2 linked regions of the Ovis aries genome follow. The protein of the gene in region 2 interacts with the protein of the main gene of each other region in a pairwise test. Links are inferred from orthologs where the notes say so. Each region holds a gene or a part of one and is shown on either strand. Other genes may lie near its edges. The genes, in order: GPSM1 and CCDC158.

Region 1 (3,814 bases), on a different chromosome or scaffold from region 2:
CGGGGAATGCCTTGAGCCTGTGGGGTGCAGGGCACAGGGCTCAGCTTCTCTGGGGGTTCGCAGCTGCGTCCCGGCCTGTTCTCGAGGTGTCACCTGGTTTTCTCAACGACTCAGGGGCAGCACGAATGGACACTGTGATCTGTCTCAGAGGGGCCTTTGGATAGGGCGGTTGAGAAGCACTGACCTAGAAAACGTTGCCTGTTTCTTAGGGAAATACGTTGACTCCCCGGTAACTCCTGGCGTTGCTCAGTCCTAACAAGGTGGGAATGAGTTCGGGGGTGCAGCGGGCCGTTTGGCGAGCACACTTTAAGTTACTCTTCCACGAGCTCTGGTGACACGTGAAGGCAGTGGGAGTAAGGGGATGGGGACGGGGTCTTGAGCCGCCTCCCACCTTTCCGGGGCGCACTTTTGCAGGCTGTCTCAGTGGGGTGGGGTGGCAGGAGCCCCCGCCCTCTCTTTAGGCCCCCGCCAAGACTCCTTCTGTGCCTGCCACCCTCCTGTCCCCCTCTGGCTCCAGGGCAGGACATCGGCTCAGATGCAGCCTTGCCCCCAGAGGTTAGGAGGTTCAAGAGCTTGGAGGTTGGGCCCCACCACTCTAGGACACAGGACAGGGAAGGGGCTGGTATCGGCTTTCACCAATGTGGCCCCGACTGTCTCGTGACCCCATGAGCCTCCTGTCCTCAGCGGGCATCGGGCCCGCCCCAGGCCGCTGTGGCCCCTCTGGAGGGTGGCGGGCGGCGCCTGGCCCAGGGGCAGCCCCTCTGCCCAGCAGCCAGGAGCCGGGCCGGAGGCTGTGTCCTCCAGTTGCAGGGGTGGCTGCAGCTGTGCTCATGCGGTCCCCCGGCAATTGGGGTCCTGGGCTTGGTGGCGGGGGCAGGTGGGGACAGACAGTGAGGCTCTGGCACAGTGAGCCACACAGCGTGCCGGCCTGGGGGGGTAGGCTCGCTGCCCAACTCAGAGCTGCCTCTGTTCGTTCATCCAAAGGGAGCCGGGCCCCAGCCGTCCGGGGGGGCCCCGCGGTGGCGAGGAGGAGCCAGGGCCCCAGGCCTGATGGTGTTACCGGGCCGCTGAGACCCCTGACCCGTCCTCTCTGCCCAGGATGGAGGCCTCATGCCTAGAGCTGGCCCTGGAGGGTGAGCGGCTGTGCAAGGCGGGCGACTTCAAGGCGGGCGTGGCCTTCTTTGAGGCCGCCGTGCAGGTGGGCACCGAGGACCTGAAGACGCTGAGTGCCATCTACAGCCAGCTGGGCAACGCCTATTTCTACCTGAAGGAGTACGCGCGGGCGCTGGAGTACCACAAGCACGATCTGCTGCTGGCCCGGTGAGCGGCCCGACCCCGCCCGCCCCGCGCCGAGCGGCCTGCCCCGGGGCCCGCCCCGCGCCACCGCGGACCCCGCCCATTCAGCCCCCGCCCCGCCCCCGGCCCGCGCCGAGCAGCCTGCCCCGCCCACTCAGGCCCCGCCCCCGCCCGCTCCACCGCGGACCCCGCCCATTCAGCCCCCGCCCCGCCCCCTGCCCACCCCGAGCGGCCTGCCCCGCCCACTCAGGCCCCGCCCCCGCCCCGCGCCCCCGCGGACCCCCGCCCATTCAGTCCCTTGCCCCACCCCCGCCCTCCCACAAGCCCCCCTTTCCCAAGGTCTCCAGTCTCCTCTGGTCTCCAGAGCTTCCCCCCGCCTGCTGCCCCTCGCTGTCCACTCCCAACCCCAGTCCCCAGACCTCCCAGGCAGGGCCGGGCTTCTCCGTTCTGAGCACCTTGGCCACAGGCCTCCCCCTCCAGCCCTGAGCTGTGCTCCCTGGCGTTCCCAGCCTTGAAACTGGGCTTCACCAGGGCCTCCCCGAGACCTGACCTGGCTGACGGGCGATCCTGGGCTGGGCCCACCCGCCTGGGGACCCCTGCCCAGCACCATCCCAGGGACTATGGGCGCCCCTGGTCCTCAGAGGCCCTCACCTGGGTCTATGCTGGGCTCAGTCCTGAGTTCGGCCCCTCACTCCTTTCTGCCCTCCAGGACCATCGGTGACCGCATGGGGGAGGCCAAGGCCAGTGGGAACCTGGGCAACACGCTTAAGGTGCTGGGCCGCTTTGATGAGGCCGTCGTCTGCTGCCAGCGGCACCTGGACATCGCCCAGGAACAGGGGGACAAGGTGGGCAGGCAGCATTGGCTGGGCGCCCCAGCTGGGACTGGGCCCCAGAGGATACCACCCAGGGCCCCAGGCGCCCGGGCTGGGAGGAAGACGGGGGATGGTCCCTGTTCAGAAACAAGGGCGCTTCTGGCTCACATGGAGGCCGTGGGGCTGAGTCCTGGGCCCCCGTTTTCCCTGTCTGCTCCCCTCTCACCGACCTCCCCGCTGAGTCCAGCGATAGTCCCCATCGCTCCTGGGCCAGGGGGCGGCGGGGGTGGAGGTGGCTCTGGGAGGAAGCCTGGGCAGAGAGGCTCTGCTGAGCCCCTGATGGCTGCTCAGTGTCCTCCCGGTGACCTTGTGGGGTCAGTGTCCCTGCCTCTGTACGGATGACGTCACTGCCTCGGGAGGGCTCCACTGCGGAGAGGTCACCGACTTGGCCCGGTCCCCCTTGGAGGTGGCAGAGCTGGAGTCCTTATCCGGGGTGTTAGAGGGGTGACCCGGGAGGGACAGAGCCCTCCTTATGACCCCTGCCTTAGTGTTTGGACAAGGGGATGCCCTTGCGCTCGTAGCCCCAGGGGCAGGGAGGACCACAAACCAGGCCGTGGGAATACCAGCTCTGCGCGCAGGGTCTGGGCGCCTGGCTCCTTGGGACTGCGGCTTTGGAGGCAGCCCCGGTCTCGGTGTCACCCCCAGGTCGGGGAGGCGAGGGCTCTGTACAACATTGGCAACGTGTACCACGCCAAGGGCAAGCAGCTGTCCTGGAGCGCCGCGCAGGACCCGGGGCACCTGCCACCTGCTGTCCGCGAGACACTGCGCCGGGCTTCCGAGTTCTACGAGTAAGCAGAACGGGCGGGGCCCCGGGTGGCTCCCCTCCCCACAGCACCCACCCCTGGCCTCCTTGGCGCCCGAAAACCAGAGTCCTCGAGCTCAGCACTGAGACGCTCCCATTAGGGGGCATGACCCCCGGGGGCCACGGGCTCAGCATCCTCTGGCCTAGACGGGCGGCAGGGCGTTGCTGGTGGGGATATGGCTCACACGCACTTGGCCTCCAGGAGGAACCTGTCCCTGGTGAAGGAGCTGGGTGACCGGGCGGCCCAGGGCAGGGCCTACGGCAACCTGGGCAACACCCACTACCTGCTGGGGAGCTTCACGGAGGCCACGACCTTCCACAAGGAGGTGAGCGGAACGGCGGGGCTGCCCCCAGCCCCCTTGCTTCGTCTGGGCTGGGTGTCTGGGCTCCTGGGTTGCACCCTGGGCACGCGGATGTTGGGCTGGCTATGCTGGGTAGGGGGGCAGCGCCTGCCACCGGTAGCAGGTCCTGGGTTGCCTCGTGACCACCTCAGGCCTTGCGTCTGTGTCCTCAGCGCCTGGCCATCGCTAAGGAATTTGGAGACAAAGCAGCGGAGAGGAGAGCCTACAGCAACCTGGGCAACGCCCACATATTCCTGGGGCGCTTTGACGTGGCCGCCGAGTACTACAAGTAGGCAGCCCCCCACTGCCCGGCCAGGGAGAGGGTGGGCTGGGCAAGGGCGCCTGGACAGCAGGCCAGGGAGGCGTCCCACTCCCCACCCCCCACCACAAGGCCTGCCCACCTGTTCCTCCCAAGGCCTGCCCACTCAGCGCCCCCCCCGGGGCCTACCCGCCTGGCCTCTCCCAGGGCCTGCCCGCCTGGCCCCTGTCAAGGCCTGCCTGCC
Region 2 (3,814 bases):
GTAAAAATATTTATATTAATTAATCAATCAAAAAGATAAATAGAGAGTGAAAGGGAAAACCATTGAGGTAGCAGCTGAGCTGATACAAACAGCTGTAAAAACATAAGATGAAGAAAAGCCTTTTAAAATGTCCAGAATAAATACTGACATCTGAGATGTATTAGTTTTTTTCTCTTTTCGTTTCTTTTTAAATAGCAGCACTGGTTTTCCCTTTCACCATCTATGAATCTACTTTTTGTTTTGGATCACTGGACAAATAAGTACTGGGATCTCATTATAATCGTACAGTGATTTTAGATATCACCAATTGTGCCAAATTGTTATCTCGCTTTCTGTGCTCAAAAATACACAGTTCTGGGATAATAAGGAATGCTGCTGGTCAGCATGGAGGTGCATTGGCAGAACTATGCAGAGATTTGCATAGAATCTCCCTGCACAGGGTACAGCTCCAGCCAGTGCTACTACAACTTCACTTTTTGAGTAAGAAATTCAGCCCCAAATGCTTTCAAAGTATGAAAAGTAAACTTAGAATCAAGATTGTGAGATATTTTTGTTATCAAAAAGCGAAAGTTAAGAGTAAAGCCAAATCTACAGAGCCAATAGTGACAGCTTCTACTGGTCCAAATTCGTAAAGGGGAATTCTGGAGGTTCTCCTAAAATGGAAAGAGAAGAATAGAAAAAATATTACAGTAAAACACTTTTGTATGTCTGAAAGCTATGTCTACAGTCTTCTTTGAAACATCACTTTTCATCAGTATGAAAATACTTTTGCTTATCTGAAGGGACACTTGTCTGGCTAAACAAGTTTTCTCTATACTTATGCATTCTAGTTGGGAAAGTTTTGTTCAGCCCTGTCATGCAATCAATTTTTAAAAATAATAAATATTTTTTTCTGAAGGAATCTGACCCTCAGGAGAAAATACTAACACTGCCTGCCTCTCATAAAATATGTTGATGTATAATATCAACATACTCTTAAATAATAAGTCTCTCTTCCCACAAATCTCACTTTTAATCATAGCTGTATTTTTTCCTTGTTATTTGGACAGTATATATTGTATATATTAAACGTACAGCAGCAGTGGAAAAATAAAATTTTAAGATTTTATTTAATTTTAAGATTTTAAGGTTTTAATAGGCTTTAGCCTATTAAATGTCAAGGTAAATGAAAATAAAAGAAATTAAACAAAAGAATCTGTGTTTTTTTAAAATTCTACATTCAATTTATCACAATGAAAATATTTTATAATGATAGAATTTTTCATGAACACAAAATAAAATACTTTCGTTAATGTGTTTGATCTTCTTTGCTTAGTTACACTATGTATTTTTTTTTTACACCATGTATGTTTAATGCTTTTCAGGTCAGAGACATTAAAATCTGTATTTACATAGCAGGATAATCATCTCTCAGTGTTCCTTGACTAAAGCGAGTTACTATAGAGATTCTAGGTGCCAACTCGATTAGGCTTACTACGCTTTACCAAAAGTCTCAGTGATCTGGATTAAAATTAATTAAACTAATATGGCCTCCTTTTTTCCAATAATGTTGACTCTTTAAGACTGTAAAAATTGTTCATGATCAATTGTTTACATTAAAGCAAGGTAAGACAATGATTTTAGTACTGTGTTTGTATCTACATGACCTCAAAACCCTCATATAAAAGGTTTCAGTCATTTATCTGAGGCTAATGCTTCTACAATGCGAAAGAGATAGGTGTTTATAAAAACAAAAATGATTTTTGTACTGTTAAGATGTCAATATTTGTTAAAATTTCCTACCATGCCCAAATTTAGGTTGATCAGCATGGTGTTATACATCAGACGACATGCATATTAGCAAACAACTGGGTGACAGCTTATGAAGAGGCTGTTTCCAAGCAACATTACAAATGGAAAGCTATATTAATTTCAAATGATGTAAGATAGATAGGTGAGTCAAGTCTTAGTATTTAATATTTTGTGGCTTTTCAAAGGGTCTGTCAATAAACAATGAAAATTAAATCTTTTCAGAATGGGTTGCGTATGATGAATATCAGTCATTGTATAGACTTGATCTGCCCAGAATGGGGTGGATATTCCTGTTATCCATCTTCAGGGGAAAAGTCCATCCTGAACTAGAACACAAAAGGCAGGCCTCAGAGAAGCCGGAAAGAACAAATATTTCTGTCTGGGCTTTTGTTTCTTGGATTTAGCCTTTAAGAAGTCTAAGGCTCCTTAAGGCTACTTCTAGGTGGCAGTGGTTGAAATGACCCTGACACAAGAATCAAGGCCAAGAGCTAAGGAAGAGGTTTTCGAGAGCAGTGCTGTTCACACTGCAACCCACCAGGAAAAAGTGAAATCAATTTAGTGGGCGTCAAATCAGTATCTGAAGAGAAGAAAAAGAGCCAGTGTCATATTATTTTGTGAAACATACTTGGATTGTATCTGTGTATACTAGATCATATGGAAAACTACATTTCTTGATGTGGGTAGTGATCAAAAATGTTTGAAAGCCCCTGTAGAGGATCCAAATCTCAAAACTGAGATTATACAGTTTCACGTTACTCTTTATTGTTTAGACCTTATAGCAAGATCATGTCTAAATTTTCTATCCTTTTAGCTGTGCAACAACTAACTAAAGTTGAAGTCTTGAACTAGAGAATCAAGGAGAAAGAGCCCCCTCCTGTGACCAGCATAGGGGTGACAGCGATAATGAAAGGAGGGGTTGCCCAAAGGCAGGAAAATATCTGGAAGAATTAGTGCTGCAATTTTTCAACTGCCTCTTCCCATAAGGAGCTTTTTCCCTTGTACCATTACCCTGTAGAACTAGATTATGTTATAAAGAAAATCTGTCAGCTTTCTTATACTCTATTTTTTCCCAATTAACTAAGGAGTAAAAAAATTGGCTACAAGTGGTTAGACCTGCAGGTTCTCTTATAGGTAGGATGACTATCTAAAGGATTTATCATCCAAACTAGGGCATTTTGGAGGTGAAAGGTGGTATTCACAAAACAGGATACTATTCTGCGTCCTTGAAATCAACAAAAACCTAAGCTCCAAAAAATTGGTTGATAATGAAAATAGTTTCTTTTTAGCTATGGAAACTGAGAAAACAGAATACTGTAGTAAATAATAATGTCTAGTTTTAATAGGAACAGTGTGATAAGAGATGAAGATTTAGCTTGCTAATTTTTTCTTATTCAGACTAATCTTGAAGTGAATTCAGTTTGTAAGCCTCACAATGATTAATAAGGAGGAGTTGAAGTAAGAAATAGCCTAAAGTATTCAGTGGGAGGGGGAGAACAGCTGGTGCCAAGTACTTGCAAAAGCTAAACCTTGTAGCAGTAATTTAAATGATGTTATCCTTTAATTTTTTAGAAACTTGCTTGAAGAATGCAGGAAACTTTTCTAAGAATGAATTGATTTGAGCAAACACTGTGTATAATTAAACATGTAGATATTTAGCACCCATCTTATAAACTGCTTTTAATTTTAAATGATTGCTTTGATTCCTCATTTTCAAATAAACCATTAAAAACTATCTAACTGATTCTGTGTATAACAGTCTCTGGAAGCAGAACAGCAAAATTTAAACTCACCTTGTCTTCATACATCCTTTTGGCTTCCCTTAATTCAGAACGTAGTTGAGAAACAGTAGATTCCAGGTCACTCAGTTGGCGCATGTACATTGAATTTTGGTTTCTTGCTTGCTCTCTAAGAAGGGTTTAAAGAGGGAATAAGAGAAAATAAGATCTAAGGTAGAAGGAAAAGAGCATGACAGAGGATGAGATGGTTGGATGGTGTCACTGATTCAATGGACATGAACTTTACC

Evidence for each region.
Region 1: the proteins of CCDC158 (region 2) and GPSM1 interact in a two-hybrid assay, tested with the Homo sapiens proteins (2 studies listed by BioGRID and IntAct). The link is inferred for Ovis aries from reciprocal best matches to the Homo sapiens genes CCDC158 and GPSM1.

Annotation. Positions count from the first base shown.
Region 1 is NC_056056.1:3,139,723-3,143,536, reverse strand, and holds part of GPSM1 (G-protein-signaling modulator 1), read left to right. Parts: intron 1-1,098; coding exon 1,099-1,320; intron 1,321-2,005; coding exon 2,006-2,141; intron 2,142-2,813; coding exon 2,814-2,956; intron 2,957-3,172; coding exon 3,173-3,296; intron 3,297-3,484; coding exon 3,485-3,600; intron 3,601-3,814. UniProt on the Homo sapiens protein: Guanine nucleotide dissociation inhibitor (GDI) which functions as a receptor-independent activator of heterotrimeric G-protein signaling.
Region 2 is NC_056059.1:92,005,868-92,009,681, forward strand, and holds part of CCDC158 (coiled-coil domain-containing protein 158), read right to left. Parts: intron 3,697-3,814; coding exon 3,582-3,696; intron 1-3,581.